Linked DNA regions of Tamandua tetradactyla. The protein of the gene in region 2 interacts with the protein of the main gene of each other region in a pairwise test. Links are inferred from orthologs where the notes say so. Each region holds a gene or a part of one and is shown on either strand. Other genes may lie near its edges. The genes, in order: GADD45A, DCTN2 and CCDC172.

What was found.
Region 1: the proteins of DCTN2 (region 2) and GADD45A interact in binary tests that used the Homo sapiens proteins (3 or more experiments, as listed by UniProt). The link is inferred for Tamandua tetradactyla from reciprocal best matches to the Homo sapiens genes DCTN2 and GADD45A.
Region 3: the proteins of DCTN2 (region 2) and CCDC172 interact in binary tests that used the Homo sapiens proteins (3 or more experiments, as listed by UniProt). The two-hybrid records come from large-scale screens. The link is inferred for Tamandua tetradactyla from reciprocal best matches to the Homo sapiens genes DCTN2 and CCDC172.

Annotation. Positions count from the first base shown.
Region 1 is NC_135337.1:58,292,519-58,300,483, forward strand, and holds the start of GADD45A (growth arrest and DNA damage-inducible protein GADD45 alpha), read right to left. Parts: upstream 3,049-7,965; 5' UTR 2,835-3,048; coding exon 2,791-2,834; intron 2,272-2,790; coding exon 2,170-2,271; intron 1,939-2,169; coding exon 1,701-1,938; intron 671-1,700; coding exon 557-670; 3' UTR 1-556. UniProt on the Homo sapiens protein: In T-cells, functions as a regulator of p38 MAPKs by inhibiting p88 phosphorylation and activity.
Region 2 is NC_135333.1:124,838,400-124,845,885, forward strand, and holds the start of DCTN2 (dynactin subunit 2), read right to left. Parts: upstream 3,111-7,486; 5' UTR 2,969-3,110; coding exon 2,933-2,968; intron 2,107-2,932; coding exon 2,038-2,106; intron 524-2,037; coding exon of another isoform or gene 484-523; intron 1-483. Other genes in the region: KIF5A (kinesin heavy chain), read left to right, coding at 5,887-6,015. UniProt on the Homo sapiens protein: Part of the dynactin complex that activates the molecular motor dynein for ultra-processive transport along microtubules. In the dynactin soulder domain, binds the ACTR1A filament and acts as a molecular ruler to determine the length.
Region 3 is NC_135339.1:78,370,185-78,378,369, reverse strand, and holds the start of CCDC172 (coiled-coil domain-containing protein 172), read right to left. Parts: upstream 3,490-8,185; 5' UTR 3,324-3,489; intron 2,921-3,323; 5' UTR 2,855-2,920; coding exon 2,776-2,854; intron 2,561-2,775; coding exon 2,475-2,560; intron 1-2,474.

The DNA.
Region 1 (7,965 bases), on a different chromosome or scaffold from region 2:
CCATACCAGTTTATTGTAGGCATCGTGTTTCAAAAAATTTATAGCATAAATAACCTTTCCTGTCATAAAATAACTTAGTACAATTTATAATAAAACTTTGAGAATTTAACATCTCATCAAAATACAATAAAATATGGTTTTAAAATATGATGAACCCTTTCTGCTTCTCTTTCATTTTAGGGCATAGAAACCAAAAAATATTCAAACTACTTCTGCACATTTAAACTTTAACAAAGCATACTTGGTTTATTTTAATGTAACTCGACCATCCAAATTAATACATAGTTTGTGTTCCTTCCTGCAGGGTTCTTTGTAATTTTTGTTCCTTTTGACTTGGATTTCTGTTTCAACACAGCTTCCTTCTTCATTTTCACCTCTTTCCATCTGCAAAGTCATCTATCTCCGGTCCCCTAGAACATGTAGTTAAACTCACTCAGCCCCTTGACATCAGTTTCTGTAATCCTTGCATCAGTGTAAGGAGTAACTGCTTGAGTAACTACAAAGGTATTTCAAAACTTCAGTGCAATTTGGTTCAGTTATTTTCATTCAGATGCCATCACCGCTCAGGGAGGTTAATCACTGGAACCCACTGATCCATGTAGCGACTTTCCCGGCAAAAACAAATAAGCTGACTTAAGGCAGGATCCTTCCATTGTGATGAATGTGGATTCTGGGAACAAATTTAGAAACATAAATTTACTATTAAAAAAATCTGCATTTGCTAATAATTTAACTACTTTCAAGGGGAAGATGCTTAAACCTTCTCTATCTTGGCTGAGTAAAACAGAGACAAGTTAGATGGGCAAAAACTGAAATTTCTTCAGGTTTCCTGCAAAATTATACAGGGTAATTCTCTATTAAACTACATCTGCAAAGCCCGCACACATGCAATCCATATGCCACATGCATATGCTTACATAAAACCATTCAGTCAATTTTGCAAGAGAACTATCATTCACAGGTTTGCCCTGCAAACTGTACCCTGGCAGAGACCTGAATTAAATAACTTCGAGAAATACTTCCCCACCAATTAATAGAATTGCCACCTGTTATCCTCCAAAAAAGTGTTCTTTAGGAGTAGCAAAACAGTGTGCCACTCAACTAGATCAGTCAGAAAATAGCAAAATTTAAAAGATAATTATTATCATATTTACCTCTAAAAACTTAAGTTCCAACCTAAACCTACTGAAGATTTTTTAAAATCAGAACTAAAAGACCCTTAAAAATGCAAAATTGCAAAGAAAAAAATTTCCACTCACTCCTTTTCATGTATTTCTAGGGAATTACTAAGATCTGTCTCCTACACCATCTCTATTTTTAGCTTTGACTGGCAGAGAATGAAGCTGACTCCTTAATGAGGGTGAGCCAGGAATTTATTTGGCTTTATCTAATCTGCCCTGTTAAAGGAATTAGTCACGGGAGGTAGTGCAGCTGTAGGTAGGGAGTAGCTGAGCCGACAGTGCTGACTCACAGGGACCTCTTCCGCTGCTGGCAGCTTCCAGCGTGCTTAGACATGTTCTGTCCCAGGGAAAATCCTGATGATGAAACTAGCACATCTAGGCCGAAAGTCCGATCACGCTCTTTGAGCGGTGGCCAAGACAGCCCCCCCCCCCCCCCATTCCAGATCTGCAGTCAGGCGACTCCCTGCCCTTCTAGGATCCTAACCCAGGTCGGCTGGAAGTGCCCCTCCTCTCCCTCACCGTCACGAGCACGCAGTGCAGGTCGGGGGGCTGCTCGGCGCCCCCGCTGGCCGTCGGGCCGGTCCCGGTCTCCAGCAGCAGGAGCTCGGCCAGCCGGCCCGGGTTGCTGACGCGCAGGATGTTGATGTCGTTCTCACAGCAGAACGCCTGGATCAGGGTGAAGTGGATCTGCAGGGCCACGTCCCTGTCGTCGTCCTCGTCCGCCGCCAGCAGGCACAGCACCACGTTATCCGGGTCGCTGCGGGCAGCGGGCGGGGCCGTGAGCACCCAGGCAGCACCCGCCCGGCCGTGCCCGGGTCCCCTGGGGTCGTGCCCGGGTTCCCAAGGGTCGCACCCCGGGGCGTTCGCTCCCCTCGGGGCAGGCCGCGGCGGGTGCAGAGAGCGGCAGCGGGCAGCGCCCCGTGAGCGCGCCCTCCCCGGGCCGCGGCGGGTAGGGCCACCACGAGGGACCGCGCCGAGGCCCACTTACACGTTGAGCAGCTTGGCCGCCTCGTACACCCCGACGGTGATGGTGCGCTGACTCAGGGCTTTGCTGAGCACTTCCTCGAGGGCATCCCCCACCTTATCCATCCTGAGCGCAAGCAAGGTCCAAAGGAGGCTGTCAGCCCAAGTCCCTCGGGGGCCGTCGCCGCCCCTCACCCTGCACCACGAGGCCCCCTCCCAAATGCTCTCTGCACCCCAGGTGTCCATCCCACACCGCCACCAGCCCGGTCCCGCCAGCTCCCACGTCCGCTGGAAGACCCTGAGGGTGTCACCGCCACCCTCCCCAGAGGAAGCTGTCAGTCCCCGGTGCAGGACGCAGCCACAGGAACCGCAGGGCAGGGGCAGGAGCTTCTGCCCTTTGCAAAGGCGCCAGGAAGGGCTTGGCCGGGTAGTGGGAAGGGGCTCGCTCTTAACGCCCGCGGGGCTCGGGGAGGGGGGGGTTCTCCTGAGGAGAAAAGGCGGGAGCTGCCGTCTGCAAACTTTTCCGCTCGCTCCCCCGCAAACCTTTCACAGCCTTCCTGCACTGGGGCGCGCGGGGTGGGCAAGACCGGTCAGGAAGAAGCTCTGTCTATCCCCGCCAGCCGGAAAAGCCCGCAGGCTTATTCACCTTTCGATCTTCTGCTCTCCAGCCGAGAATTCCTCCAAAGTCATATTGCAACTGCAGGGCCCCCCAGAGAGCGGCGTGCGGGCTGCTCCTGCCACCGCAGGCGCGCAGGCTGCTGCTCTCTCTGCACTCCCCTCACAGGCTGCCCAGCAGCGGGCTCGGGTCCCACACGCGCACCGACCGCCGGGACTCAGCCAGGCCGGCCTCCGCCAGCCCGGGCTCCTCCTCCAGCGCCCGCCGCCGCCGCCGCGCCGCCCTCCCCTCCCGCCGGGCTCGCTCGGTGCCGGTAGCCAAGCTCCGTAACACAACTACGGCAGCTGCCCCACAGCCACTGAAGGACAAAGGGTCCAGCTCACCGGAGTTATCCTGCCAAGCCCCAGCCAACCATCTCCGGCGTCATTTGCATACAGCGTAGCCATTGGACTATGCAAATCAGCCTGCTCTGGCAATTTGACCTCAGCTCCGGGAACCAGGCTGGGAGAAGTGAAAAGAGGAGGAGCCCTGCGGGAGGCGGGCCCGGGGCGGGGGCGGGGCCTTGGGCTTGCTCCCCTATCCCGTGGGCGGGGTCGATCTGGAGAGGAGGGCGGAGTCTTCACCTTGGGCTGGAGAAGAGTGCCAAGTGTTTTTCTAGTTGGTGCACTTTTTTAAAATTCTCGTTTCATGTCTTTTGTTTTTAGGGGTTGCTATTAAAATCTATTTTCAGAGTTCATGCGCCTGAATCTAGTAATTATTAGTAAGCAGGTTACATAAAAAAAGTGTGTCCAGACCTCTGGGGCAAAGTTTACCTCAGAAGTGTTGTCTGGGCAAAGCTGCTTATTAGTAGTAGTATTATTTCGGTGCCCTGATGGCTGGTTTGATTTATTTTTGGAAGGTTGCAAGGCTTGGAAGCTCAAAAAAGAAAAATCAACACATTCTGTTTGGTGGTGGCAGGGAACCAAGTTGGAATCTTTTCCATAGAAAACAGTCTTCCCACCTGCCCAGGGTAGCTCTGGAAAACCATGAACTGGTGCACGTGGGGAGCTGATGACCATATGTGTAAACCCCAGTCAGATAACCCAAATTCACCTTTCCCGGAGAGCTTTTCCCAAAGGAGGGTCCACCTGATCCACAGGAGCTAGGAGACAAATGTCTGCCACCCACACAAAGCACAAGTCTAAACTCCAAATGCTCTCCATATGCCTGTTTCCTTTCATAAGGCAAGTAAATATGTCACTGCCTTCCACAGAGAGCCTATGTTCTCATTGTGAATTATTGACATTAGATGCTGAAACACGAAGCTATAGGATGTTCTAATCAGATGTTAAAAATTCCACCTTTAAGAGAATGGCAACCTGTGGGTGGAAAGCAAACATGCATAACTGCAAGCAGTAGGTACACATTTTGAAAACTGAACTTTAATGTATAGACTTTCACTGAACAGGTAAAAAATCTGATCCTTTGTTTTATGGCTTTATGCAGTAAATGCAAAAACATTTCTTAAACGTACCTACGTCAACCAAAGTGGTGAAAATGCCTCCTACGTGCTTGCATTCAAAACAGTGCTTGCATTATTAAGGTCACTTATATATGACAGCCAAAGGTCACAGAAAAGTTTTGCAAAGGTACACGGGAGATTTTGCGCCCTTATGTTTGTATCATTCTTGGCAAAATATGATTGATCTTAATTGAAGATCAATGGCTCTCTTGATCTTAATTTAATGGAAAAGAAAAGTGATGGATTGAGGTTCTGGTTCGTTTATTTGAAATGCAATTTTGCAATCAATCTGTAACCACGTCGTCGACAAGGGACAATGTTCAAGTAAAAGGAATGTGGTGGTCAATGTTTAATTCTCCCAGAGTGCTTATGTATCTCATATCTATACCTTATCCTAATGTGGTATATTTGTTAAAGAATTCCTCAAGATTGAAACTTAGGTAGATGTTGAGGCACTTTCAGTTTTGCAAACAAAATCTGAATTACAGTCTGGCCTCAGTCACCATTTGGAGATTGTGGAAAGGTGCTCTGTGGAATTCCAAGATGCTATCTACCAGGTATTCCATAGAGTTTCTTTGGAAGGAAATGTCGTCACAGCAAACTGAGAAAGAATGTGGGAATCGTAAATTTCTTGACAGCAGGGACAGTGACTTCACTGACTTAGTGTCCCCATCATGCAGCACATTACCTTGCATTTAGTAGATGCAGTCAGTGTTTAATGAGTTGAATGGCATCCGAGAGTTGAACAAGATCTCAGGATTCTTCTGGAATTGTGCATTGCATGTGCTCTTTCTAAAATATTCCACATTTGACTTTAGCTCCAAAAAACTTTGTGGATCTACTATTATACATCAAGAACTGTACTAATCCTGGTCCTTTGCCATTAAAGAGCTTATGATCTAATGGGTATGTGCAAGCTCAAACTGAATTTTAGGATGAAATAATATGCACTGTCATCAGCTAACTATGCTGAAAGTCCCATGACTTTAGTCATCTGAATGGAAGCTGTAGGACAGTAGAGCCCATGTGTTGTTTACACCAGTTTGAATGCCCTACCAGCCGTAATAATGCCCCATCCAGACTATATACAGAAAACCAAAGTCACATAAAATGGTCAAGTTTTAATATAGGGTAAGTTCCTCACTCGAAAACTATACTTTGTGCTATATTTGGTCTCATGGGAAAGTTATTTGTTCAAGTGGGGTTTTTCTCTGTGAGATAAGCCCAGACTTCCAGTATTCAAAATATTCATTTGTCATGCTTTCTGACTCAGATATGTTACATCATTGTGCCTCATTACTGAGTCTACCTAGAGTGTTTCACCAGTGACTCTCTTCAAAGTTGGTCCACGTGGCTGGAAGAAGAAACTGCATTTAGCTACACAGAGTGCAGTTATACAGTAGAATGATCATAGGTGACATTTCATAAATGCTGTTTAGTCCTCAAGGGAGTTGGTATCCAAGGGCAAATGAAGAGGAATTATCTAGATCATATAGAACCTGAACATATTTTTATTATCAGTGTAATAACTCCAATATGTGAAGTCATTTGGAAAAAATACTACAGGCAATCCTGAATATTTCAATTGTACAGAACTAGAATGACCTTGTAGTAATTTTTGTAAGGTTGCCAAATGGTTAGAGTTAGAAATCAGATGGAAATAAATATTCAAGAATTGTTATATTATTTTATCACTACTACCTGCTTTGCATATTAAAGGTCTTTTTCTTTTCTTCACTTTTGTCACACATACATTCCTACTACTCATTATACAGACAGAATTATAACTTTTTTCTCTTTCAAAAAAGTCTTTTAATATCTGAAAAACATATGATGCTTGTTATTTCTTTATTAGACAGATCTTCATTCAAATTAAAGGAAAAGACCAGTTAGACTATGACAGATGAATCTACCAGCTACTGAGAACTGTATTATATTGTGTTTTATTGTTAAAACTCATAAGGTTCCTGGCATTATTATTACTATTGTTTTGCATAAGTCTGGTGAAGCTAGCTTCTCAAGACAGGTCCATGAATTTCCCTCATTTTTTTTCCTCAGGAGAAGATCATTCAGACCATATTTACTGTCACTTAAGAGGTATCTTGTCTTAGGATCAATACTTTCTTTTGAATTTCATATAATATTTTAGTTTCTTGGCTCATCACCATGGTAACCTCCATGATCTCTGCCCTCTGGTGTTACACTCTATATAATCTCCTCCCCGTGAATATGGGTAGGGCCTGTGACTTTCTTTGACCCAACAGAATATGGCAATGATGATGGGCCACCACTCCCATGATTATATTACATTCTCTGGCAAAGGTGAAAGGATTTTGCAGATGCAATTAAGTCCCCTAACAAATTGACTTTCAGTCCATCAAAAGGGAGATTATCCAGGGTGAGCCTGACCTATTCAGATTAGCTGTTTAAAAGAGAATCTAGGTCTTCCCTAAAGAGAGATTGCAAGCGTCAGAGACTCTCTTCACTGCTGGCTTTGAAGAAGCAAAATGCTATGAATTCTACTGCTGCAAGGAAATGAATGTTGCCAACAACCTGAGGGAGTGTGGAAGGAAATCTTTCCCAAGTCGATCCTCCAGATGAGAATGCAGCCAGGACAACACCGATTTCAGCTCTGTGAGACCCTGAGGTGAGAATCCAAGTAAGCTATGCCCAGACTTCTGACCTGCAGAAAATCTGAGTTAACAAAGGGGTGTTGTTTTAAGCTATTATACTTGTGGTGATTTGTTAGGCAGCATCAAAACCTAATACAGGGTGGGCCACGGTGACTCAGCAAGCAGAGGTCTCACCTGCCATGCCGGAGACCAGGGTTCATTTCCAGGTGCCTGCCCATGCAAAAAAAAATAAAAAAATAAAAAAAAATAATAATAAAAAAACCAAAAACAAAACTAATACAATCACTTTAATGCCTTCTTATTGTGTGTTTAATAAATCTTTACCCTAGGGAAATTCTCTTCATGCATTAAGAAATTCTTCTCAGGTATTAGAATCAGTGGAGTCACGGTGTGGCTTTGAGCTTTTTGCTAACCATTTTGTGTTGCTAACATCTGCTCAAATTTCACCAACCAAACAGAGACTGGCCACTAGAGATGTCAGATGAAGTGACTCGTGATGACATTTTTCTAGAGCTCTTCCTCCACCCCATTTCCCCATCTCCCTGCTGAGTGAAGTTTGTGCCAGTAGCCTTCTGTCATATTAAGACTCTACTGAGAGTCTCTGTGCCCAGTGGGCTAATCATAGGTGAGGAAGGTAGGTCGTCTGAGTTGGTAATTGGCTATTGGTAGTTCATTCTGGTAACTTGAACAGATTTCTGAGCTCTGTGTTTCTGAAATAGAAGAGATCATTCTTTTCACCCATCTAGTTTCTCACAAAGTTTTCTACTTAACCTCTTATGTTGGAATACCCCAGGGCTCAGTCCTTGGACCGCTTCTTTCTACATTCACTCTCTTGGTGACCTCATCCATCTCATGGCCTTAAATATTTATATGCTGATGACTCAAATATATTTCCAAACTGACCAGTCATCTCTTCTGGACTTCAAAGCTAGCTCATCATCTCTGCCTCAATATACTATAAACATCTCAAACTTAACATGATAAAGGTTGATCTCCTCATTGTCCTCCTATATCTCTTCCTCCTAGGGGTCAATGACAACTCCATTCTTGCAGTTGTTCAACTCCTAAGCC
Region 2 (7,486 bases):
ACAGACAGAAGATTCCTGGACTATCAAAGCACAACCCACTGCTCCTCAAGTTGCACATTTACATTAGTATTAAGAGCAGCAGAAAGGCCATTACTCAGCTGACTTCTGGAAAGCTGCCCTCCTAAGGCCCACAGGGACATGCAAGGGCCAAATATTAGCTGACATCAGGAAACATCTCAGCCACACAGGCTCCTGAGGCAGTGGAAGGTCTCCCCACCCTATTCACTCCTCCCTAGTGATGGAGAGCCACTTAACTGAGCCTTAGGTGGTGGAGGCAACTTGGCTATTCACCATTAAGCTCCTAAACGCTGTTAAATGGCATCCTGGGCAATGTGCCTCAGGAAATGAACACTCATGGTATCCTTCCCCATCAACCCCCACCCCCACCCTGCCACCCCTCCTCCAGATGCTACTAAAATGGGCTGCTCAGGCTCAGCGGGGTGAAACAGCCAATCAGAGCTGCATTTTCAGCTTCTTCCATGCCTGAAATGGATGTCCTCGTCTTCTTATTATCTCCCAGTTCCTTCAAAAGGAAAATGACAAGGTATTTTTTCTGTTTGGAAAAGGGACAGCTATGATACTACTCATTTGTATCAGTTAGTGATAAAGTTCCATTTATTATCTCACCATAAAAGCTTGATATCTTTTTGGCAGAGCTGAACAGTCTCTACACTGTGGCAGTACAGTGAAGCCCTCAGCATCCACATCCCTACTCTGTGAGGCCAGAGGCTGCTGCCTACTAAGACACCTCTTGGAGTCACAGGTGAACACTCAGGTCCTTACACAATTCTGCACTGATCTCCAGATACTCAAGCTTGGGTGACATACTAACATGACAGCAGGTACAGAAGCCACAAGGAACACACCACTGAGGGGACAGTGAAGGTGTTCCCTAAAAGGAAGGAAGGCAGAAGCTATTTCCACATGGAGGAATCAAATAAGGAATAAGTGAGTATGCCAAGCCATACGTAAGCCAGCGGTCAGCATTTCCCTAAACAAACCAGCCCCACAGACAGAGCCACAGCACTCACAGTCAGATACGATGAGCCCGATCCTGCTGACTAGTAGTCACACCTTCACTCTGATACCACCAATGCAACCCCAGCCCAGCTCGCTTTAGAAATAACAGAGCCTAAAACACATCCTATAAGATGTGCTAACCTATCTCTGCTCCCCTGGGCACTTCATACAGAACTTCTCCTATGTTGATTTTTATTCACTCAATTTTATTTTCTCACGTTTCCTGCATATATCCTAACTCCTGCGTTAGTCTGGCGCTCCCTAAGGTCAGGGACATTTCTTCCTTTCTCCGCATTGCACAAAAATCAACACAGAATGAACACATTAAATAAACAATGCTAAGTCGTTGCCCTCCTGATTAAAGTATGTCTATAGCTAATTCCTTCCTCCTCAATCTAGATTTCTTCTTAGACCTGAAAGTGATACCACGGTCTCTCCTCTGCTGATATGAAAAGTTTATATTTGCCCTCAAATTTACTTTGCTCTGACCAGGTTCCTTACCTTTTAAATTTTCCACATCTTTTTCTTCCTCCTTGTCCACTGGATAGTGTATATTCATATAAAAAAGCTTTCATTTATACTTCAAAGCCTAGCTCTCAGTATGATATTAATGAACATGTATTGAGTGAAATATTTTATGAAAGGGAAGGCCTTGTCCCTTATCAGGCAGTTTACAAGTGCTCAGGCTTCGCGATTCATTACCACGGACTAGAACCCAGGGGCCTAATTAAGTCTTTAGCCCCAAACCTAACTGATTTGAGATACTCCAATTTTATTAAAAAGGCGTAAGGATAAGGGCTTTCCCAGCAAGTCTTCCTGGTTGTAATTCCTCAGATGTAACTCTCCTTCATGGCACTGCTCTTTGTTGGCTGAGAGGCCTCTGCAAGCCCTGCAACCTACATAACAGCTAGGCTGGGGTTGGCATACCCGCTTACTGCTGGCCAGAGAAAGGAGAAAGCCTGCCTGGGGAAGATAGGTCAGAGCCCAGAGGGGTCCTGAGGCAGCACACAGTCTTACCGCATCAAACTCTGCTTGATCATCCTCAGGTAGGTCGCTGGTTTCATAAACATCTGGCTCGTTCCTGGCCTGCAGGTAGAAGCAGTGATCACCCAACCACACTACCCAGCATCCAAACTAACAAAGAAAGCATAGTGTGATGCTGAGATTCTGTCCTTTCACCTCTGCCTGCCCAGAACAAGTCAGTTCCCCATGTTTTAGAGGAGTGGGGATGACAGTAAAGATATCTGGGCCTGACAGTAAATGGTGAGCGTTAGTGATGAGAAAAATACTATCCAGAATTTGGAGGGGGGCAAATCTTTGCACTCATTATGTCAGAAGAAGGTGAGGGCTATTCTCAAATTAGGCCCTGTACACCACTACCGTAGCACAACTCCCATCCCGAGGATACAGGGAGGGCAACAACACAAGCAGAGTGGTACATGCCGGCATGTGCATCGGGGGACAAGTTCCCGTAGTGCAGAGTTCCACATCTGGCACAAGAATGGTTCTATCACCCTACCCTTTTCCTTGGTCGGGTAAGGCCATTATCAAGTGACCTGTGCGTCTGGGGTTCTGGGAGGAGAGCTTATGGAGGGATCTGGGACAGCACGGGCGGTGTTAACACGGCTGATGGAAACACTAGGTAGGGCACAAGTGGAAAACACCCGGTGCATTCCGGGGCCGGGTAACCGGCAACTGCCGGAAAGTGGGCCTGCTGCGCCGGCCGACAGCCTGGCCCAGTCGGGTCGGAGTCGTTGGGAAGGTGCTGTGGCCCGTCGGGAAGGGAGCAGCAAGCGCCCTTGGAGCGGAGGAGGGGCTGCAGGGGGGAGGGGTCGCGGGTTGGTATCTGTTGGGGATCCTTGGTAAGTCGCGGGCGCGTTGGTGGGGAGCCGGGGCCGGCCCCTGTACTCACAATGCCGGGAAGGTCGGCGTATTTAGGGTCCGCCATGGAGGCGGCGAGGCGGGGTTGGGGGACCGGGGCCTCGGAGGAGCCGGGGCTGACGTTCGGGTAGGGAAGAGGTTGAGGCCGGTCCCAGGCTAAAGCGGAAGCAAAGGGAGCGGCGGAGCAGTCGGAAGTCTCGCGACAGTAGCAACACAGGGAGAAGGGTAAAGCAACAGTCGCGAGAACAGCCCACTACCACACCCCTGACGGGGCGGTGATTGGCGAGGACAAGACCAGAGAATGAGGTAATGGCGGGGGTGGGGGTGGGGTCGCCGCCTAGGATTGTGGGTTTTGTAGTCTCGGTAGGCCGGGGCTCGGGCAGGGTACGACAGTAATGCACCTTAGGGAATTATTTCACAGAACTTATTTCCTTTCATGTTTACATCAAGTCTGTGAAAGTTATCCGTTGTATATATTGGAACTCACAGAAAATAAGTGACTAGATAAAATCACACAGCAAGTCCTGCTGCAGTACGGCCAAAGATTTCAGAAACAACAATAAAAAGTAAAATTTTGAAAACGCTTAGGGTCTATTAGGAATGGAAAAGTTACATACTCTTCTCAAGTTAGAGCTGTCGGATAAAGTACAGGGAACTTAGTTAAATGTGAATTCCATATAAACAATTTTTTTAGTGTATGTCCCATGCCATATTTGAAACATACACAATTATTCTTTATATGAAATTTAAATTTAACTGGGCGTCCTCTCTTTTTTTCTTCCTAATCTGGCAATGTGCTATCTCAAATTCACACAATAGGTAAGTGGTAGCTCAATGGTTGGCAGACCAGTCAGTCTCTGTTCTTCTAACCACTTGGCTAATAGTTCCCAGACTTTGGGATTTCATGGCTTAATGAAACTAAAACAACAACAATACCAAGATAGAAATATCTTGTGAAGATAGAAATAACATAGCTACATTTTTATTTTGCCAAGTAAGTACAACGAAAATGAAAACCTATGTATTATCACTGTCATTAATTAGTAGAAAAGTAGGAAGGACAGACTTTCAGAATAAAGGACAATCTTTTAAACTTAATAAATCCAACTTTATGAAAAATACACCCGTTGGCTTTTTTTTGGAGAGAGGGGGTATACCCAGTGGGTTTTTGTCTCTACCCAGTGACTTTCCATGTTCTGGCATTTTGCAACTACTTAACTAAGGATGCCACCCTGGAGCCCATGGGAGCCTAAGGTTAGGATGTTTCCTGAGTTTGCAGGATGCTGCAACACTTAGAAATAGTGCCAGACCAAGTGACTGGAGAGAAGTCTATTTTCCTGAGTTGGAACTCATTGTCATTCTAGCCATACTCTCCTGGCTTCTCCCCAAACTTCTGTCTCTCTTTCTCCATAGAGACTGCCTTCTCATCCAGTTCCTTATGCTGGATCCTTTTCATTCAGTTCCTTTAAGATGCACGTTGGGATCAAGGTGTAGGCCCAATGTGTAGGGCCCCTTCCCCCAGATGAGTGGTTGTGTCTTGTCTGGTCAGGCCAACAGCCACTAACCCTTGCCCCATAGTGTCTAAATGACGTCAGACATTTTCCAGACAGCTGTTGGGCAGAATTTCCATCCCTTCCTCCCTTCTCTCATCATTCTGCCCTTCCTCCCCTTGACCTAGAGCCTCAACCTGCAGTCCAACTCCCTGTTGGTCAGCAGAGGCCTATGACGGGAAGAAAATCAATTTGGCCAGCTTCTGAATGTTTCTGTCCAGGGGCTGCAGCCCCTGCATGAAGGAAGGACAAGCAATCTCTGGGTTTGGCTTTTGCTAGGGAAGGGGAAGAACCAGAGAAGAAAGACCTGAGAAGGGAACTGCTGTGTATAGATTCTGTCCAATTGTATCTGAGACAGGAAACATACTCAGGTAGGGTGCTAAACCTGCTTGAAACTGGAATGCAGAAATCCCTCCTAGAAAACCTCTTCCAAGCCCCTCTGGTCTCACCTAGCCCATCACCACTTCTCCTTCAGCACTTTCTGACTCTTAAAAAAGTTACTCCTACCCACTTCCATGCCAACCTGAACCTAGGAAGCAGAAATGAGGATTTCACTGGCTTTTAGATTCTGAAAGCCTAGAATGGGAGTTTGTTGCCCCTCAAACTGGTATATAGGTTGGGGGGAGAATAGAGTACAGCCCTTGGTGTAGAAGGGGAGAGAAGTAGCCAGACCCTTCTCTCACTCCTCTCCCCCAAGAAGGGGACCTGGAGTCCCACCCTCCCTCCCGGTAAAGCAGCTGCCCTTGGAGGTGAGTGGATAAGGAGTCCGGCGCCTGTGCTTGGTGGGGGTGATAGAGGAATAAGAAATGTGCTCCCAATTAGGACAGAAGATTGTGAAGGAGGTGGGGGATGCCCCGGGAAAAAAGGGGGACGGAAACCTTGTTGACACTATTCCCTAGAATAGGCCCACCTCCGATTTCTTATTCCCTTCCAGGGGGCGGAGTCCTACAGAGGGACAAACTGGTCGAGGGAGTGGGATGCAGGGAGTGAATTGGTTGGGGAGGGGGTGAGGGCAAGGTTCTCTCCGAGCGTCCGGCGGTGGGGGTGGCCGGGAGGAAGCGAGAAGACCGGAAGGATCACACCGCTCGGGGGTCGGCGTCCCGCGGCTCGCCCCCCCGCGGAGGAAGCCCCGCCCCCGCGCCTCCGTCGCGGCCCCGCCCAGGCCCGCAGCGAGGCGCTGCAGCGCGAGGGGCGGAGAGGCAGAGCGCCGGGAGAGGACCAGACGCGCAGATCTCCCGCATCCCAGTGCCGCAGCAGAGAGGAAGCGCGCCCCATCCTGCTCCCTAGCCTTTGCCCCTGCGACCCCACATCCTTCTCGGCCCCAGAGACCGAGCATCTGTCCTCCGCCTCGGCCTCAGCTGGGCGTCTCCCTCCTTCAGAGCACTTACCACCCCTGCAGCCCAAGAAGTGCCCCAGCCCCACGCCGGGGACCACTATGGCGGAGACAAACAACGAGTGTAGCATCAAGGTGCTCTGCCGATTTCGGCCCCTAAACCAAGCCGAGGTTCTGCGGGGGGACAAGTTCATCCCTATTTTTCAAGGGGACGACAGCGTCGTTATTGGGGTGAGTGCCGCCCCCAGAAGGGATTTCGGGGAGGGGGCGAGAAGCTGAATCTTCCCACTGCGGAGCCTTGCTCCCTACCTGTCTCTCTGCGCCCCCTCCCCACCGCTCATCTTCCACCCTCCATCCTCCTCGCCGCAGTCCCTCCTCTCCCCTGCATCTGGATGGCTGGGTGTGGCCTGCCCAGGCCGGTGGCCAAGTCTCCGCAGAGTGGGAGGGGGCTACTTCCCAGAGATCTGGGGACTCCACTCCTCTTTGCTGAGTCCGCATCCCTGAAAGGTAGTCCGGTGTTTTTCTGATGTTTTCCATTTCCCCTAGAGAAGGCCTGTCTTCCCTTTGTTATTGGTTCCGATCTCTACCCCAGCCTCCCAGGAAAGGAGGGGGAAGGCTAGTGGATGGGCTAGAAGCGAAGTGGGCAGCCCAGGGTCTGTGCAGAGGTATGAATGGGAGTGGGCTCCAGAATCAAGCCCTCCATCATCCCCCAAACTAATTAGCCTGGACTTGGGAGCGGGGGAGGGTTCAGGTCTAGTGAAGGGTTTTCTGGGAAAGGAATACTTTAATGCCACACCCGATTTGGGGGGAACCCCTGGGGTCCTAAGGAAATGTCTATCTATCCGTCCCAGGTACAGTGGTAAGTGGATTTCAAACCCCTCCTATCCTACCCCTCCAAAAAGTAAAAATGCCAGAACGCTGAAATCCTAATAAATACTTGCTTATTCACCCTTTCTGTTGATGCTCCAGTAAGAAGTAGCAAGCCATTGTTACCTCATTGTGACAGCCCCTTCCCATGCAGGAGATCTTATTAAGAGAACTAATATTTATTGTGTGTTTGTTGTTCTACATATTAAATCCTCAAAACATCGCTCTGAAGTAAGTATTGAGATTTCCATTTTATAGATGAGGAAATTGAGACCCAAAGAAGTTTAATGACTTTCTCAAGGTCACACAGTTATGGATCTGAATCCAAATCTGTAACTCAAAAACTCATGTTTTTTTTTCTCGACATCACACTGTCTCCCCAGATTTCTGTTCGGGACCTTTATCTGCTATGGCCCATAGGGAATTCCTAGGCCTCACTCATTCCACCTTTCCTAGATTAGTAGGCACCATCAGGCTGTCGGGTGAAAGGACCTGGGGGTTGAGTCCTATGGTCTTGAAGAGTGCTAGGCCAGGAAATGGTTGCCCTTTTAGTGAAGGGAGTGGCACATCTGAGGGTAGACCCCAATCTTCTCAAGGTCAGGGCTACTTATATATCTTTGATCCACAATGCTTGCCACAGGCAGCTGGCAACAGGCCTGTCAAAGGAATAAAGGGAAGGAGGGGAGGGAGCATGGGCCCCCTGAGTCAGTGAATTTGGGACTTTAAATAAACATGTCTTAGGAAGAGACCTGCTTACCTGTTCCCAAGGGCCCTAGTCTGTCACCACCCTGTGCCCTCACCCATGTTGTGAACTCAAATGGGTGCTTTTGCCTTA
Region 3 (8,185 bases), on a different chromosome or scaffold from region 2:
AATATTTTCTCAATGTATCACTGTACAAATATCTTAACTATTGCCCTATTCAAATTATGTTCACGTCTCTCCTTATGCTGTCTCCACTTGATAAACTGGTCAATAAATGCCAAGTCAAATATTCAAGTAAATACATTTTCACTGATATTGGCAGACATATAATGAACTCTTATGATAAAAGAAATAAGAAATCAATATATGATTACTTCTTTAGTTCTTCCTATTAGTCATTTACATTATAATTGTGGTGACACCTTTAAAATCTTTAAACACACACAGATATACAAACAATTTTGACTATAATAAATCAAATATCTCAATTACGAATTAGAATTGTATGAAATGTGGACCTCATGTATTAATTTTATTAGTAAGATACAATTGTATTATTACCCACATACATAAGCTGATTAAAAAGCAGCGCATTTATGAGCCTATATTAATTAGCAATTTTATGTTTCTAAACAGCATAGGGATTTGCTTTCTCATCTCTCTAGCACAAATGTCTGAATTGACATTTTTATGTATATGTATATATCAACTAATTACATTTCCATTTTCAGGCAAATAGGCTCCTACAAAGAAAATAAAATGGAGTAAACCTTTTTTTTCATTATTTGTAATCTGTCAGGTCAATATCTTCATCAATCAGAGAAAAATCCATTTTGTAGAGAAACTTATATAGGTGACCTTTTAAAAATATTGCCCTAGACTAGATTCTAAAGCTTCAGATACATTATTATATGTGAATATCATGAAGAATAAACTTTAAGATGAGCTCAAGAAATTTGTTTTACTAAAATATCCGTCACTGTTCAATTGTTACTTACTTTAGGATAATTTCATTGTTTTCAAATTATATCTCATGGGCAAGCCATTGAAATTCTGTTTCTCAGTTCTCTCACCAATAAAGTAGGGTTAATGACATACCTCATCACAGGATTACTGTCAGAATTAAAGGAGCTAATGCAGGTGGAGCTTTTAGGGGAGTGCCCAGCACACAAGTGCTCAATAAATGTTAGCTATGCATTACCTAATTCTAATCGTATATGTGTCACCTACTACTTCTATTACGTTCTAGTTATCAAACCTGAAAGCAACTTAATTCTTCTCAAAGAAAAAGACATCTATATCATGGCATTCTTTAATACTTTGCCCAGCCCACCAGCTTTTAGCATTGTTGGTAGTAGCTAGTTTATTTGCTATTCAAAATAAAACGGGAGAATGATCTCACTGAATAGTGCCAAATTCTATTTTAAAAAACAGTATTATCCCTATTATCACAAATATTGGTGATAAATTTATTCACTCAAAACATTAATGCACACTACATGCTAGGCTTCGGATACAGGTAAGTGAGAGCAAAAAAAGATGAGTAAGAAAAATAATTCCCGATGTTACAAAATAGCAAGGGATATGACACAAACATAAGTATGTATTGTTGTTTAATTGCAAGGTAATGTACAGACTGCTATATTAAAAACATTTTTCCAACATGTCTATGGGAGAACTCCACAGGTGACATTTAAGAAAGATTTGAAGAGCAGAAATTTACTAGTTGGTAGAAGGGTTATATGATTATTTTATTCACACAGAAAAATGGAAATTCCTCACAGAGGTAGACATTTCTATTTAAAGCAAATAAACTTCCTCAAATAGACTCCCCCGCTGCACGCTGAATAAATATTTTTGTATGGCAGTCTGTTCCACCCACAGCCAGGCCCTCATTGTGAAATACTTAAACGAAAGCCTTAGCTTCCTAACTAAATGTCCTGCTTCTATCCTCCAGATCAGAGTTCAGAGTGACCTCCCTAAAACTGCTTTTATCACCCGGATCAAAAAACAAATATCTTAATTATTGCCCTATTCAGATTAATTTCACGTCTCTCCTTATGCTGTCTCCACTTGATAAACTGGTCAATAAAATGCAAAGTCAAATGCCTACTCCGAGATATCAACCCTCTGCTTTCAACCTCTGCCACCAGGTTCTCCTGCCTCGATTTCAAATAAGACAATTTTACAAAGGGAAAAATGCTAGTCAAAAAGTTATACTTTTGGGTGAAAAGACATGTCCAAAAGTGGTCGAGAATTAAAAAACAAAAGACATACACTCATTTGAAAGTTACATTTAATACTTACATCAAAATAGCACACTTTATTATTCAAAATGTATATACTGCATCATCTACTTATTCAACAATTAATTTCCAGTGACACTGTACACTTTTAAGATGTTAACCATTCCCCCAAATGGAAATGAGTTCTTCATTAACTGAACTGGTTTCTTTAGGACAAGCTCATATTAGAACTAACTACTTCACTGGAATCAGAACTTTAAATATCACCAGGCAACATGATAGAAGAGCGTGCTTCCTATTTGAAGGAAAACTAGTTCATCAGGGAAATACCCTCAAAAAGTCAAGTTGCACCAGGCTTTTTTCAAATGCTGATTATCATGCTCTACACAGCAATACCTTAGATTCCAACTTGATTTTCTCTTCATTCAGCTGCTCTGTTGCTTCCTTAATTTTTTCACGACATCTGTTTATTTCCGACCTCACTGTAATACAAATTAAATCCTTACAAACATACATATTTCTCAGATTCCCATTTCTGTAGCATTTGGAAAGACACCTTTCAGCTTTCTCTCCCTCAACGTGGAAAGCAAACTCCCCTAACTGCTCTGCTGACCAGCGCTTTCGGGAATTCTTTCTTCTCCAAGCACCCAACTCGGGAAGACAAACGGTCCCCCGCAAAACGCCAGAAAAGCCCGACCTTCTCGCATCAAGCGGCGACTCTCCTCAGCCTGGTGCTCCGTGAAGAGGATGTGCTGAAACAACGTCTCTAAACTCATCTCCGGCCCAGGCTCCTGAGGAGCCCCTTCTCGACGTTAAATATTTGATAACCAAGTCTGAGGACCCTGGAAAGCAGCACGTTAAAGGAGATCGGCCTCCAACTCACCCCTCCCGACACCCAGCCCGGAGCCCCGAGGGTCAAGGCCGCGAGGGGTCACTGGGGACGCCGGCGGGGCCGCGGGGACGCGCAGGGGCAGTCCCGTGGGGAGGCGCCGACCACGCGCCGCCCACCCGCCGTCCCTTCCCGCGCGACGTCCGGGCCTGGTCTGCGCCACCCGCTCGGAGCGCCTCACAGCCCGCTCCCTCTGCCTCTGTTTCACATATTACAATTCACTGATCCGGCTTTTTCTCTCCTGCGCCTTTCAAACCCTGCCATCGTCCTAGGCGGACGGCAGCTCCCCTCGGGCGAGGCCTGGTCCCCTCAGTCTAGGTTTTGCTTTTGTCACAGAGGCAAATAAAAATGGAGACCTGGGCCTTGGCTTCCCAGTCTGGGCAGCAACCCTTTTTAGGGTCAGGCTTTCCTCTCAGCTTTCTCTTTCAGCAAAACGTGTTATCGTCCACCAGCACAGGCTGGCGGAAACCTTCGCCTCAGGCTTCATTTAGTGCCTCAGGTCGGGCCTTGCCCGGTGAGAACTTCGACTACGGCGGCCAGTTGGGCCCATTCTGCAGTCGTGCGGTTTGCTGTGGGTCATGCGGTCTCCAAGGGTCTTAGGCCTGATTTTGAGTTCAGGGGATCTGTTTGCATGGCACAAACACCCAATATTATAAAGTGCACAGTACTGGTGATTCTAAATATAGACTTTTGCAAAGTCTTATCCATTATATGGCTAAGACTGCTATAAATGTGCTGTGTCTGACGTTCCGCCTTAATCATTCCTTTGTAATCAGGGCATATCTTTTTTGTCTGCTTTACAAGTAATCATTGCCTTTTGTAATCAAGCTGCAGTAATATTAACACTTCAATATCTGCGCAATATGTGTCAGAGACCAAAGTGGTTGCTAATTAAAGCTTACACATGAAAGGCACCTTTGGGATTTTTGCATGGGATTTTTAAAATAAAAAAATTAAGTATTTTTAGTTTTAGTAGGTCAAAATATTGAGATTATAGTAAACATTTTACTTCGTTTCTGAGTGTTAGATTGAAATTGGTTAAACTTTACAAAGTATTTTCGAGTTAGAATGTATTTGGAATTAAGTAAAGTATGGTAAATGTGAATTCGATCACACCAGCTATACAGTAGGGTTAATTGACATTTAATTAAAGCTATAATATAATTGATTATAAATTTTAACCTATTCCAAGTTTCCACTTTTATTCCCATCAAGCCATGCGTGCATAAAATTTTTAACTTTATTGTAAAAGGAGACATACCGAAGAGTGTAATGAAGCAGAAAAAGAGTTGCCCATAAACTCACCATTCAGAAGCAAATATTAATGATATTTTGTCTCTTGGCTTCCAGGTGACCTGCATTTTTCCTTATACGAACTTGCAGTTACTGTGAATATATAATAATGGCGATGTTAAACCAATAATTAATATGTATGATTTGCCAGGCACTATTATGAACACTTTACATCCTTTTGAGATGGATTTTATTATTAGCTTAGTAGCACAGTTGAAAGAACTGACGTACAGAACAGTTAAGTATCTTGTTCAAGGTTGCATACCTAAAATACAGCAGTGTGAGATCTGAACCCTAGAAATCTGAGATCAGAGGCTATGAATTTCATTTTGGCTTCTGCTCCGTTTTCCCCTCATTACACTACAAGTCTTTTACCATTTCACTGAAAACTTATCATAAATACATTTAAATAACCTCATAATTCTTCCTCATATACTTACATGTGTAAAATTTAGATATACAGAAATAAATGTGACTCTTTCATCTGCTTAAGGGTGGAAACAAAGCTGAAATTGTGGTTCGAACCATTTTCTTTGAACACTCATTTGGAGGCTTATGAACTGTACCGCAGCTGCCATCAAAGGAAATGACTTCCCAGAAGATAAATTATATTACTAATTAATATCACTCCCTTCAGAATTATTTCCTGTGGACCAGCACAGGGAGCATCCTCACAAGGAGGCTGGTTTCAAAAGCATACTGCTATTTAACATTCCAGTTTTATTAGTTACACTCAAACTCACATTTATTATTTAACGTGCTCTTTCTGTATTGAAACTTGGCAGAATGAAATTTGGGCAGCCTTTAAGGAGCCTGGTTGCCTGACTCACACAAGAGTGTGGAAGAGATAGCTGCTGGTAATTCAGGAAAAGATATATGGGGGGAAATGCCTTCTTCATCTTCTGTAATCTTCTTCGCATCCCAGAGTATTTTGGTGCTTTTTTCCTAAGTTAGAGTATTCTTAGAGGTACCACAATTATGGACATTCAGCAGGGTTTTAAATTTAATTTTGTTTTGCTGAAGCAGAAATGAAAATTCAAGCCCACAATTCAAATTTTAAGCATTTCATAATAAAAAATAAAAGTAACATAAGATACTAAAATGTTACTATCCCATGTTTAGCTTTATTCATACATTTTCTATAGTGTTGATTTTTTTCGTGTAGATATACATGCTGATTACATTCTATAATGGACAAAGCAGGATTATAGCATTACTTAAATGTATGCCAAATAAAAATAGTACATGATGGGGTAAAATTTGGGCATACTATTTTCTGAAAAGGTATCGCTCTTATAAGCCTTAAAAAAAAAAAGAAAATGATTCATTCAATAACTGTTTAATGAGTTTCTGCTATTCATTCAACATTTGCTTAACAAATATTAGTGAGCGTCTCCTATTGCTTAACAAATATTAGTGAGCGTCTCCTATGTGCCATATTAGAGAAACAATATCAAGATTTAATAAAAACACAACTACATAAAATGTATTTTTCTTCCCTAGGATATTTCTAACCTCATTGGAGAGTTATTATATATTTCAGCATTTTAGCGACAGTATAAACAACTGCTTTCAGATGTTTCAACAGATGTTCTTTAGAAAGAAAGCCAATTATTTGCATTATGATTCCTACATATGATTCTCAGATATAAATTTTCCATCTGTACATGTTTCATTGATTGCATACCAATAGAATATAAAAGTTAAGATCACTCATTATCTTTAAACCTCAGACATTTGTTCATAATAACACCAGCACCTGGGTTTTTGAGCAATCAATAATTGTTTGGCTAGAAGGCCTTATGTAAGGCTATATTGCTTTTGTGATTTAAGATGCGTTTCCTCCCCTTTCTTAGATTGATAACTTCCCTAAGTTCTAAACCAGGCTTTGCAAAATTCCTATATTGCAATGGGAAGAAGAAAAATAATTCATTCATTTTATGTTTCTCTTAGGGCATCTGCCAAAAAAAGAAAAGAATAATGCGTGGATTCAGCAAGTTTAACGACTATTTATTGAGTATCTACTAAGTGTAAAAATCTCAAATACTATGGGTGATGTGACATCAGTAAAGATACAGGTAGCTTTCTGGAGGTCACAGTCTATAAAACCAAACGTTGCATACACCAGTAACTCCCAGGTAGCTGTGTATAATAGAGCCTTACTCTTGGGCTATAGAAATATGGCAGAGGAGAGAGTAAGCCTGGCAAGGGTGATCTGGGAAGATTTATCATTAGGAAAAAAAAAAATATATCAGCTGGATTTTTAAGGAGGGTGGGTGTTCAATAAATGGAGATTAGAAAGTTAGGTAGGGTAGTATTTGGAGGCTGTTGATTTTTTCATGATGGAGGACCAGGTTATGTTTTCAAGCAGTGTTGCTTTCAGTGTTGCTTTCTGCAGTCGATTCTTAGCAGTTAGTTAGAAACACAGTGAGTTAGGAAGAGCCTAACAGCTAACAGCTAACATGTATTGAGTAGCTTACTATGTGCCAATCACAGTCTGAGAATTTGACATGCATTAATTCATTTAGTTTGCACAGCAACCCTGTGAGATAGATGCTTTTATTATTTCCACTTTACAGGCTGGGGCAGAGTCAGGGAGAGCTAAGTAACTGGCCTAAGGTCAGATGCTGTAACTAGGAAGTAGAAGAATCAGGATTTGAACCCTAATAGTCTCATTCCAGAAGGCACAACCTTAGCTATGTCTCCTTACTGCCTCTAACATCCAAAGCCTAGAAAAAAATGAGACTATTTTGTCAACTGTATTTCTTAAGGAAGATATATTTCCTAAAAAATGCTTCTCACCAACAAATTAATATAATTTCTGAAGACATTTTCAAACTAATAGACTTTGGATTATCAATGCACTGCATCTGCTAAAAAATTTTAACTCAAATGTGATCTAAAGAAAAATAATTGCAAATAGGTCCTACCTTATTATAAATGCTTGCTTACCTAGTCACATATCTAATATGTGAAACTAAAAGTGAAATTTGTGTAAAAAGATCCTAAACCTTAAGTTGTAAAAATAAGTTATGATTTAAAAAAATTTTAAATCACTTTGATTTATTATCTATTATAATAAAATTCTTTAATGATTTAAGGGATTTTATACAACTTTATAGATGTTAACATTGAGGCCAGGCAGGCTGATGGAATTCCCTAGAACAGTTAATATCACAGCTGGGTCTAGCACCCCCTCCTAATTCCTTCCTGTTCCAATAAAGATCTTTTTGTTCACCAGTGGCTTTCAAACACTAAAACTAAAGCAACTCATCTTTTATTTGTTTCTAATATTGAACTTTCTAGAAGAATTTAAAAAAAGGGACAGGGCTATCCTGGAGCAATTCATCTACTGTAGGGAACTTACCCAATTAAGGAGAGATATATTAGAAAGAGATTGGTAGATAGATAGAGTATAGGTAGATAATAGATAGACACACATACATACTTACAATACCTATGTATGTACACACGTGTACATACATATATGCCTACATATTCATACACATATCAATATATGTATACATGATAAAATCATTTATGAAAAAATAAGTGCTTAAAGGTATCAATTTTATTTTCCAACAGACTTACACTTCCATAATAAAAATAAAGATAAACTAAAAATATATATAAAAATAAATAAAGGTAAACTGCCAATTCTTAATTACTAATTGAGAAAAGCAGCCTTTCTTCATGAAATATATTGGATGAAGAAATTTCATTAACATACTAGGAGTCAATAAATATTAAAACATTTTGTAGAGAAAAGCGACAGTGCAGCACGTGACTGGGATGTTCACATTTTCAGAGTTCAGAGCCCAAGCTGAAGGTCCAGGAAGGTGCCTCTGGTGCCCTATCCAAGAGGTTAGCCTATCAGGCCCAGAAAACTTAAACGAAACAAAATGTGGAAACCACTGTTCTCCAC